Linked DNA regions of Coturnix japonica. The protein of the gene in region 3 purifies or fractionates together with the protein of the main gene of each other region. This does not show direct contact. Links are inferred from orthologs where the notes say so. Each region holds a gene or a part of one and is shown on either strand. Other genes may lie near its edges. The genes, in order: PREB, MIA3 and MIA2.

Region 1 (4,183 bases), on a different chromosome or scaffold from region 3:
GTTACACCGCTCCTGCCTTCGGGTACAGCTCCTGCACGGAGTATTACCGTGCCGCCAGCCCTGCCAGCAGCCTGCAGAACATCCGTGTGCCCACGCTGTGCCTCAACGCCGCCGATGACCCCTTCTCCCCCATGCACGGTGAGTGGGGCCGTGCCCAGCCCTATGGTGTTGTAGGGCCGGCAGCTGACCCGCGTGTCCCCTCGCAGCCATCCCCGTGGCGGCCGCCTGGCACCTGCCCCACGTAGCACTGCTGGTGACGTCGTGTGGAGGCCACATCGGGTTCCTGGAGGGGCTGCTGCCGTGGCACGGTGGTCTCATGGAGCGCCTCTTCCTGCAGTTTGTCACTGCCGTGTTCCAGCACGGGGAGGAGCTGCAGGGGCTGCAGGATGAGGGGGCTGTGGAGGAGGTCAGCGCCTGCTGCCCCCCTTGAACCCCCTCCAAGTCCCAATAAACCCGTTCCCGTCCTCACTGAGCCCTCTCCCACCCCTACGGCCCCACTCCTATCCCTTTCCCACCCCAGCAGGGGGGCATGGAGGACAGGGAGGCTGGCAGACCCTTACAGCCTCAGCACAGACAACACCTTCACACTCTGGGTTTAATGGTGGGGACAAGGAGCAGCTCCAGCCCAGCTACTGGCATGCTGCATTCCATTGCCTTGCTGGCACTGTATCCCAGGGCGGTCCCACTCCCATAGCTGGGTCCATCCATCCCCCAATACAGCAGGGTGGGTGCCTAGAGGAAGCCAGGGAAGGCAATCTGCAGCAGCACGATGCTGCCCACGATGAGTGCGGCACACAGCAGCAGCAACAGCCAGATGGGCAGCGACCCTGGGGGTGGGGGGAGAAAGGAGGCTGAGAGGTGGGGTCCTGCAGGGTGTCCCGGCCCCACAGCCCCACACACATACTGCGGGCAGGCAGCAGGTGCAGCTTGCAGCGGCTGTCCACGGCCACACTGAGCAGTGCTGCCTCGTTCCCCGCCAGCAGCTCCCGTCCTTGCTCGCTCTCAGGCACGAAGGCCACGTCCGTGACGACGATGCCATGTGCCTCCTTCACGTAGTACAGCCTCTGAAGGGGGACACACATGAGGTGAGGGTTGCCCCGTTGCCCACTGTACCCTCCCTGTGCCACACTCACCTGCAGCGAGAATGCGATGTGCACAGCGACGGAGCCGGTGACGGTGCCCAGCCCCAGGAAGGTGCCTGAATCACTGTGGGGAGGGGGGCGGTGAGCAGGGCTGGGAGCGGATGGGGGCGGTGGGGAACCTCCTCACTTACCTGACGGAGAGGCAGGAGATGACCTCGGAGCCGCAGGGCCGTGTCAGCAGCGGCAGGAAGGTGCCCCCGTCCCACTTGGTCAGGTAGCAGGGTGGGGGGCGGCGCTCCCGCTTGTGGGGCACCTGCACCGTGTAGAGCCGCAGCGCCCCGCAGTTGTCCTCCACCGCCCCAAAGCTGGTACGGGGTAGCAAAGGGGAGCTGAGCCCGTGCTGCCGGGGGGCGGCCCCATGGGGTCACCACCGCTGTCCTACAGCACGGCCCAGCCCCGCACCCACCGGCAGGCCTGGTAGCGGTACGCGGTGCCAGGGACGCCGGGCAGGTTCTCGTTCCATTGCAGCCCGGTCACCAGCTGGTCCCGCTGCCACACTCGGCACTGCAGGTCCCGTCCGGCCGTCACCACCTGCCGGGCACACGCCGGCTGCGGCTCGTTCTGCCGCTCATTAGGGGTCCCCCGGCCCTCGCCCCCCACCCACCTTATTGTCGGGGCCCAGCGTGATGTCCTCGATCTCCCCGTCGTGCGCCTTGAACTCCAGCGCCTTCTTCATGCTGGGGAACTGCGGCGGCCGTCAGCGGATCCCCGACAGGCGACCCCTCCCGGCCCCTCCCGCTCCGCTCCCACCTCCCAGAGCCGCACGAATCCGTCGGCGCCTCCGGTGACGAGCACGGTGCCGTCGGCGCTGAAGCGCACGGCCTTCTGCAGCGCGTCGGGGCTGAAGTCGGTGCGCACGCGGTGCAGACTCTCCACCGACACCTCCCCGCCGTCGCTCCGCGTCTCGCCGCGCTCCGCGGGGCCGGTTCCTCCCTTCCTCCTGCGCGGCCCTTTCTCCTCCGCGGCTGCGGGGACGGAGACCGGCCGTGTGAGCGCCCCGCAGGTAATGCCCACCCCGCAGGTAATGCCCACCCCGCAGCCCGCACACCGGCCCCGTCGCCCCGCGGCCCCGCTCACCGTCGCCGCCTCCCTTGCCGGCCGTTGGCACGCAGAGCCGCAGGATGTGGCAGCTGTGGTCCTGCCCCGCCGCGATGAAGTCCCCGCTGATGGCCATGCTCATGGTGGCGCGGGTCTCGGTGTCGTGGCAGTGCAGCAGCGACGCGCTCAGCCGCCCCCCGATCTGCTCCAGCCGCAGGAAGTGCTGCGGGACCGCGCCGCTCAGCACCGAAACCGGGAGCCCCGCGCTCGTTCACCCCCCGGCCCTAAACCCCGCACCGCACCACTCCATTGCCGATCCCGGTCTTGGCCGCTCCTCCGCCTCCAGCGGTGATGGCGAGTCCGCGGCGCGGGTGCAGCCGGACGGTGTAGAGAGGGAACGGCGCCCGGTACAGCTCGGTCGGGCGCGGCGCCATTGCGGGAACGGCGCGACGCGTCAGCGCCCCGCGCAGCGCAGCCCCGCCCCGCACAGCGCCGGTACCGCCCCGCACAGCGCAGCCCCGCCCCGCACCCCGCCGGTACCGCCCACCGATCGCCGCCGCTTCCGCACATCAAGCCCCGCCCCCTGGACCCACGGCCCCGCCCCCTGCTCGGTACCAGCCCCACGCGTGCCCCGCGGCCCCACGTACCGCACGATGCCGCAGCCCCGTGGGTCCCTCACCCCCCCAGCCCCGCCGGACCCGTCGCTGTCCATAACGGTTTATTGAGGTGCAGGTAGGGAGAGAGAACAGCACGGCACCGCTCCGCATCGTGCTCCCACCCGCGCCCCCCCCCAGGCAGCACCGGCCCCGGGGGTCCCTCGTCCCGCTCAGAACGCCGTCTCCTGCACCGTGTATGCGGGCGGCCCGTAGCCCCGCTCCTCCGTGTCGTCCCGTGGCGCAGCTCCCAGCCCGTTGGGAACGCGCTTCTCGGCTGCGGGTGACGGCTGGGGGGCGTCCTGCGGGCACGTGGCGATGGGGGGCGGTAGGGTTATGCACAGACACCTCCCGCCCCACAACCCGCTGCCCCCCGTCCCGCTGCGAGCCGCTCACCTGCGTGGGGAAGCGCACCCCGCAGCACAGCCGCTGCCGGTAACGGGCGGGCAGACAGCGCAGCAGCCGCGGCAGCACCGGGAAAATGGTGCGGGGATCCACGGCAGAGGGCGGTGTGGGGCCTGGAGGGTCATAGGGGTGAGAGGGATGCTGGGGGGGGAGGAGCACCCGGCCCCACATCCGGCACCCACCGGTGAGCAGGCTGACCAGGAGCCCCACCGCGATGACGGTGGTGGAGTTGTGGGCGCTGTACCACATGTACGAGAGGCGGTAGAACTTCTGCAGGCCTGTGGGGCTGGGGGGGGTATAGGTGGTGACGGGGGGGTGCAAGTCAGACCCTCACAGACCACCCCCATCAGCCCCAAGGTGCTCACCTCGGGGGGGGCGTCGTGGGGGTGAGCAGCGTGGTGGTGAGTACGGCTGGTGTGGTCACGTTGATGGGGAGGGGCACGGTGCTGTTGGCCATAGGGGCGGCGCCCCCAGCGCTGGCCACCAGGCTGCCGATGCCCACCCAGAAGGCCATGGCCAGCCCGGCCAGCAGCCCCACCACCGCACCCTGTGGGGGGACAGGCACTCAGACACTTGGTGGCACCGGACAGGGTGGCTGTGGTGGGGGGGAGGTGTCAGGGGTACTCACTGTGGGGTTGGCACAGGGGAAGAACATCCCCAGGCAGAAGAGCCCCAGCAGCGGCCCCCCCACCATGCCGAAGATACTGATGGCCGCCTGCGGGGAGATGGTACCATTTTGGGGTCGAATGGGGGAAATAGGGACTGCGAGGCCGGGGATGACCCCAGCACCCCATCACCTACCTGCAGCACAGGGCCCAGCATGGAGGACACGTAGGCCATCCCCAGGCACAGCAGCCCATAGCCAAACGCTGGGGATGGACGGATGGATGGAGGGGGTTCAAGGCCCTGCCAGGACCCTGCTGCCCCCTCCCACCTCCCATGCCC
Region 2 (3,115 bases), on a different chromosome or scaffold from region 3:
AGGCTCTTTGGGAGAGGGCTGCTTTTTTTGGGGAAAGGGGCAGACATCAAATAAAGTAGTGACAGGAGGACATAAGATAGAACATGACACAATTAAAGCAGCAGCAGGAAGTACAGTGAATTGTGGATTAGAAACGTTTCCTGAAGGTTGTTTCCTTCTCAGCTTACCGCCCTGTCCTTTGCTGTGGCAGGAGAGGAGGTTCTCGGCCCAGCGCTGATCAGAGATGCTACAGCAGGCCCAAGATCTGCAGAGAGAGCCACAAAGGCAGGTCTTAGTCATGCTTTGGGAAAAGGAATGTGGTTCTTCAAGATCCATTGCTGATGTGAAAGATTAAGTGAGTACACTGTGCAATTGGTGGCAGGTCATATAACTTACCAGGAACAGACATCCTTCCAGGGAGCTCTGGTTGCCTCCGTGGAACGGGGGGGCCATCTACCACTGTACCTTAAGAGAAACAACACCAGAGATTCTAATCAACACATGCTTGAGCTACTTCAAAATAAATCCATCTGTGTATTAACAGAGCAGATATCAATACTTACACAACCCCTAGAACCAAAATCAGACCTTAGCATTCTTGGGCTTGCAGTGTGTAAGGTGCACAAGACAGGAAGGAACACTCTCTGCTTACCAAATTCAGCTCTTGAGCCTTCCCTCTGAGGAGCAGAAAGGGGCCTACTGGGAACTTCCATCATCTGTGTGGGTGACGGATTTCCTCCACTCACAGGTGATGGACCAAAAGAACCATCTCTACTTAAGGGCACTGCAGCAAGAAAAATCAACGAAGGAAAGTAAATCACATTGGTTTTGTTACTATATCACAGCCTTTGGGGTTTTGGATTATTTTTTTAAGAACAGACTGATTTTAAGACCACAGCTTTGGGAGAAACAGGAGCACTCACCTCGGCGTGGTGGGACTTGGCGATCAGGTCTGCCTGGAGTTGGCTTTACAATGAGCGGTCTTTGAAGCATGATGATTTTTTGGTTCACCTCCATTAATCTAAATTCAACAGATAGTAACTTAAATATAGGTATATATATACACACATGTATATACATGTATGTCTATACACTATACATATAACATAATAATACATACATGAGAGTTGTATTTGTTGTATTGTTGTATTACAAGTAACAGTATCACAGAAACTACTTTGTAACATGTTTGAGCTTTTACCCAGAAATCCTATTTTAACCATCAAAACAAGCTCAAAGCTTAAAGTTGTTATTCATTTGTGCACCACAGAGATTTGATCTCCAAAGAGATCAAACCAACCTCTCCATCTCCCACATACAGAAACAGGCTGACCGTGCACCTTGCAGAATTTAAGCTCCTCCTTGCCTAACAACATGATCCCAGAGCAATGAAAGCAGCTTGTACTGTACTCACTTCTGTCTCAGGTTGGCTGCTTCTCTCTTCTCTTCAGCCAGAGCTCTCTCAGCAGAACGGGCAATAAGCTGTCAGGGAAAGTTTTGCCAGCTGCATTAACTGCATCAGCCAGAAGCCAAATACAAGATGTTCGTATCAAAAAGGGAAGAACGCTCTTACCCAGTTGTCGTGCGCTTTTTTCTCATGAGCAGCAATCTTGAGAAGAGAAGAAAAGAAGTATGTTAATTCTTTTCTTCTGACAACTTGATTTGCTAGAACTCATTACAGAGTATTAGAATGATGCAGAAAGTAGCAGACAATTCACCTGGTTTTTGTAAGATCTCTCTGTTTTCTGCAATTCCTCTTCCATATCTTGAATCCTCTGCCTTTATGAAAAGAAAAACAAAAAAAAAAGGGGGGGGGGGGGGGGGGGGGGGGGGAAGAGGGAAAAGAGAGTAATTAAATGATTTTTCCTCAGTAGCTGAAATAAAGAGAAACAACAGCCTTCAGGAAACCAAAGTTACTTGTAAACTTTCACTTCCTCGATAGCCAGCACGGCCTTTTCATCTGCAGCAGACAGCTTCTGCTCCTTCTCCTGGCGCTCATACTCTTCTTGTGTTAGCTTTCTACACAAGGAAAAACAAACAGATTAAAAAATGTACTTCACCCATTCTACCCATCCTCTATCTCTTACGTGATAACTTTTCACACCCTCTTTAACCTTATTCTTCACTAACTGTACTGTTTTTGACATTTCTCTGCATGTACTGAGGAGGCTCCTAATGTCTTCCTCTCTTACAACCGCCTCGCCATCAGAACCTCAGTCTTACATCATCTAACTGAAAACATCCCTGAATCTTACCTAATATTTTCCACGCTAAACTGAGATTGTATTACAGACATCTCAGTAAGAAAAGAAAGTAATCCAAGAATGATACATGCATCTGTATTCATAAGTAGTTCTTCAGTGCTAGTGATTCATCCACCTCAGCCATCAACATGCACTCAAACAATTTAGCAATCTCATGGAAGAGTAATTGCAGGCTTACTTCTGGAGCGCCATTTCTTTCTGCTGGTACAGTTCACCGAGGATCTCCACTTTTTGCTGTAGTGTTTTACATTCATTTTCCAGCCGAGCTTTGGCTGATTGCAGTGAGGAGGAGTCGTGTTCTAATTTTTTTATTTGCTCTGTTGGAGAAGCAGAGGTAAGTGAGGAATTTGCAACTGGAACTGTTACACAACTTAAGTGTTCTGGTTGTTTCTAAATCGCAAACAGCATTTCATTCAAAGCCATTGTTTTACTAAGTCTACCCACCCTCCAGCTCATGTCTCGCTGCTACTTCATCACTCAGCTTGGACTGCAGAGAATTTCTGTCTTCTTCGACTAGAGATAACATAGTTTTTACCTGGAAAAAAAAGGATCAGCAGAAAGTTTACAATCTCGGGCATAGCAGTAATGTAACTGTATTTATTCATCATCTTGTGTAGCATACCCTGGAGGCATCCATCATCTGTTTAATCTGAGTCTTCATCTTCTCATTATCTAGAAGAGAAAAATGCATTTGTTTTCACTGTTTCTTAATCCCAATTCCCTGAACTCTACAGCTGTTAAAAATAACATTCCCCACCTTTCAATGTGGGATCGGTCCAAAGGAAAAAAGACAGGGAGTTGTGTAGGAAATGCAACAAAACACAACAGCAGCTCACTGCCCAGCACAAGAGAACTGGCAGAATTACTCCAAA
Region 3 (3,648 bases):
GAGTTAAGTCAGTGGATTCAATTCAACAAGTTGAGAAAAGAACCAAACTTGGTCCTATTTCTTGGACAAATGCAGTTCTGCTGAAATAATTTCTGATGTTAAGTTAAATGAGTCAATTAGATTTCTGAAGGAAAAATACAGACGCTTCCATTTCATTCATTTAAAGAGAGAGAAGGAAAGTGGAGGTATCTTCATTCTCAACATTGTACTGAGAATCATGAAAAATGGTTCTGTAGGAAGTTACTGATTCAGTGAAGTGCTTCTCTCCCTTTAGTTTTGAAGTTTGAGGCAGTCATTGTATGCGGGGATAGTCTTATTCCTAGTGCTGAAAGAGAACAGGAAGGCTGTGTATAAGGAGAAGGAGTTGAGGAGTAGTTAAAGGAAAGCCGTGCTGTCATAGGTCGTAAGGGAAGGAATCATGACTCCTTCATGTTTGATGCTTTAATGGAAACAGCGTGGGTGAGTTCTAGTATGGAGTTTAGCATCTGTTACAGGTAATGAAGAAGCTACTAATATAACTTAGTACTGCTGCAAAATCTGTTGGCAACTGTACTTAATGGGAAATATGTCAAAATATTTATAAAATATATAAAAATATTTATATTTCAATAATCAACATTGATTTTTAAAAAATAGTATTGTCTGCTTGTGTACTTTAATTCTCTGTAAATAATATACCTGGCTCCATCTGAAAGTTGATTCATGTTCTGAGAGAGGGGAAAAAAAGCTGAGGTTGAATGTTCCACCATAGCTGTACCACAAACAAGAAGAATTACAGGCTTGGCAACTTCTCCTTGAATAGGGGCAATAAGTATTGAAATTTCGATGTCATGCAAATCTTTAAATTGTAGCTCAGCTCTTACTGGTGAGTAAGAGTGAAAAGTGGATTTCAAAGTGGAGTCATAGTAGGGAAGGTAACTATGCAAAGGCATGACTCTGCTTCATTTTGCAATACAACACTTAATATAACTTGGATAGATTAAACAAATGATGTGTGTAGTTGATGTAACTGCAGAGTAATTATAGTGCTCGTCTCACTTTGTGCAAGGTAGAAAATGGCTTTGAATTCTAGGTTGAATTTTGGAATAGAGGAGGATGCCAGAATTATGTATTCTGTCAATCTTCAGACCGAGTCTTACCTGAAAGGAAAGCATACACCTGAAGTCACAATTTCTCTTCCACTTACTTATATGTTGACCAGGTCTTTTCTATTATTTTCTTTCTTACAATAGAGAGGATGAGAATAGTTTTGAATATAGTATGAATAGATATTTTGAATGAGGATATTAACTTTGAGTGATAATTTTTAACTCAATGAGGTTTTGCTAGTGGCCATTACTGTAGTGCTAACAATAACCTTCACCATGAAGGCGGTAGTTTCTCTGCATTAACAAGTACTCTTAAAAATGATTTTAAAACGATCAGGTACTGTAGAGTGCAGTTCTCTTGAACGAATATATTTTCCTTCCAAACAAACCTTAAAAGGCTCCTTGTAAATCACCATCAGCAAACAGCTGGAGATTCCTGTGGACCTTTGCTCCTCTCGTATCTTGAAAGTGTTGGCATTTTGTGATGCATTCCGTTGTTTTCAGTCTTAATGAAGAAAGACATAATGGAGGTTTTAAAAACCTGAGTAAATAGCTCTCTGATTTCTTCAATTAGGATCTAGAGGACCAGGATCTACTGTTATGTACGAAGCCAGTAATGAACGAGGAGACATGAGTTCTGATAGATTAACTGATCCCCACAGACCACCATCAGATACTGGATCCCTGTCTCCTCCCTGGGACAGAGAACGCAGGATCATTCTGCCTCCATCAGGTACAGAAATTTGCTTGACTACTGGAAGAATGGAATTACTGACTTATGGTGTATATATTTAAGTATTTTGTGTCTGTATTAAAGAAACAAAGATACTACAATTTTAAAAACCAGCATTTAAAATAAAGCTATAGAACAACTGTCAGTTGCAGCAAGATATTATGGTTGCATATAAGCCTCCTCAGCTGCATATGAGCCTGATCATGAAACTCAAAGTTCATTCAAGGTGAACTTTCCTATTTGCCAGATCTCAGCTACTTCCAGGACATTGCAGCGGTAGTCCTGTTTTCCTGTCCAGAACTGTGTTCATACCCACCTCTGAATCTCTCTGCTGCAGTTTGCCTTGTAGCTCCGTAATAGCTCAATTCAGTGCAAGTAAATTGGAAATGTGTTAGAGAACGCAATGAACTGTAATGGGAAATGTCACTCTTAGATTAGTGTGATTTAAAATAAACGGTGGTCTATTTTTATATTGGCCTTCGTTACTGAAGGAAAGATTGTTTTCCCACCCTGATTAACAGTCACTTTGACTATTTCCAAGAGCATAAGATAGCCAGAGGATTTTGCTGGTGTAAAATTGTATGAAACACAGACCTGTTTGGTGATATTTTCTTTTTCCCCAATGACAGGTGAGCCTTATACTGATTCAGTTCTTCCTCCTCGAAGACAAGAAAGATTCTTCCCTCCAAATACTGGAAGACTTTCTGGTCCAGCAGAGCTGCGGACTTACAATATGCAGTCTTTTGATAAGACAGGTGGGAACTGCTTTACCTGGCTCCTGTGGTTCGAGCAACTGGAGAATCTCAGTGTAGGAGGACTGTATGAAGCCATGGGAGGAATTAGCAATAACATCCTCTTCTGAGTACATGGTTCTTGGGCAGTTTGTAGCCTACTTAATAGAAACAGCAGATAACATTTGGATAATGTTGCTGCCAACATCTAGCAGCTCATTAAGCTTGTGAATGTTGCTTTTTCAAGGCATATAATTTCACCAGACTTAGGCATTTGTAAAAATACACCCATCAGCATCTTATCTCAGAAGAGCAACATCTCACAGTAGTGGAGTCCAGGCTCCAACTCTAAGGTGAATTGACTACAAATACTCAGCAAGCTAACATAGAATCAGAGAATCATAGAATTACCTGGGTTGGAAAAGACCTTGAAGACCATCAAGTTCAACCGCAGCCTAACCATAGTGCCCTTATGCCTTTTCCTAAGATGAGATGCGTAACACCAAAACTTTAGCTTAAGTCAGATATCTGAAGAGCAAGAAACTTGTCAGAAGGGCTAAAGTTTGATAGAGTTTGAGAGCAGCTTAACGAGGATTTAAAATAGAAAGTTTTATGCAGCTTGAGTGTCGAGGAACAAATATTCAGGCTGGTGAAAATGCTGAAGTGTAGCTTTTGTGTTCCTTGGTTGTCTTTCTGTCTGCTCACAGAGTCGTTGCTTGGCATGGCAGTATGTTTAATTTTCTTGCCTGTATCTTCTGATATAAGAAAAGAAACTGGTTGGGATCAGCATTGAGTAACTTGTTTAACTTCTGCATACAGATGGGCAGACGTCTTCAGAAAATAGCCCACTGACAGAACCAAGTGGAAATGAGATGAAAGATAATTCTAATCTTAGCGTAAGTAGCTAAGCAGAAACTTGATTTACAATATATTTTTAAAAATATGGAAAAAAATGTCTGTAATACTCAGTAACGTATTGCATTGTGCAGTCCAAGCTATAAAAATTGTGTGTGGACTTTTATCGCAGTATTCACTGTCTTGTGAGTTAATTTTGAGATGTTAGGAGCATAATCACTGCTGAAAACTAATTAAAACC

Evidence for each region.
Region 1: the proteins of MIA2 (region 3) and PREB purify together in Homo sapiens (affinity purification with western blotting; 3 studies listed by BioGRID and IntAct, with this or other methods). This does not show direct contact. The link is inferred for Coturnix japonica from reciprocal best matches to the Homo sapiens genes MIA2 and PREB.
Region 2: the proteins of MIA2 (region 3) and MIA3 purify together in Homo sapiens (affinity purification with western blotting; 6 studies listed by BioGRID and IntAct, counting the BioPlex papers as one, with this or other methods). This does not show direct contact. The link is inferred for Coturnix japonica from reciprocal best matches to the Homo sapiens genes MIA2 and MIA3.

Annotation. Positions count from the first base shown.
Region 1 is NC_029518.1:95,350,479-95,354,661, reverse strand, and holds PREB (prolactin regulatory element-binding protein), read right to left. Parts: upstream 2,678-4,183; 5' UTR 2,615-2,677; coding exon 2,483-2,614; intron 2,404-2,482; coding exon 2,220-2,403; intron 2,108-2,219; coding exon 1,893-2,107; intron 1,828-1,892; coding exon 1,747-1,827; intron 1,674-1,746; coding exon 1,549-1,673; intron 1,448-1,548; coding exon 1,274-1,447; intron 1,207-1,273; coding exon 1,134-1,206; intron 1,065-1,133; coding exon 905-1,064; intron 828-904; coding exon 733-827; 3' UTR 582-732; downstream 1-581. Other genes in the region: SLC5A6 (sodium-dependent multivitamin transporter), read right to left, coding at 3,007-3,135, 3,230-3,351, 3,421-3,524, 3,604-3,785, 3,867-3,953, 4,040-4,107.
Region 2 is NC_029518.1:15,697,134-15,700,248, forward strand, and holds part of MIA3 (transport and Golgi organization protein 1 homolog), read right to left. Parts: intron 2,916-3,115; coding exon 2,866-2,915; intron 2,779-2,865; coding exon 2,688-2,778; intron 2,561-2,687; coding exon 2,422-2,560; intron 1,999-2,421; coding exon 1,897-1,998; intron 1,759-1,896; coding exon 1,698-1,758; intron 1,589-1,697; coding exon 1,553-1,588; intron 1,462-1,552; coding exon 1,394-1,461; intron 1,001-1,393; coding exon 903-1,000; intron 764-902; coding exon 632-763; intron 445-631; coding exon 376-444; intron 245-375; coding exon 168-244; intron 22-167; coding exon 1-21.
Region 3 is NC_029520.1:34,149,898-34,153,545, forward strand, and holds part of MIA2 (melanoma inhibitory activity protein 2), read left to right. Parts: intron 1-1,662; coding exon 1,663-1,821; intron 1,822-2,450; coding exon 2,451-2,576; intron 2,577-3,371; coding exon 3,372-3,448; intron 3,449-3,648. UniProt on the Homo sapiens protein: Plays a role in the transport of cargos that are too large to fit into COPII-coated vesicles and require specific mechanisms to be incorporated into membrane-bound carriers and exported from the endoplasmic reticulum.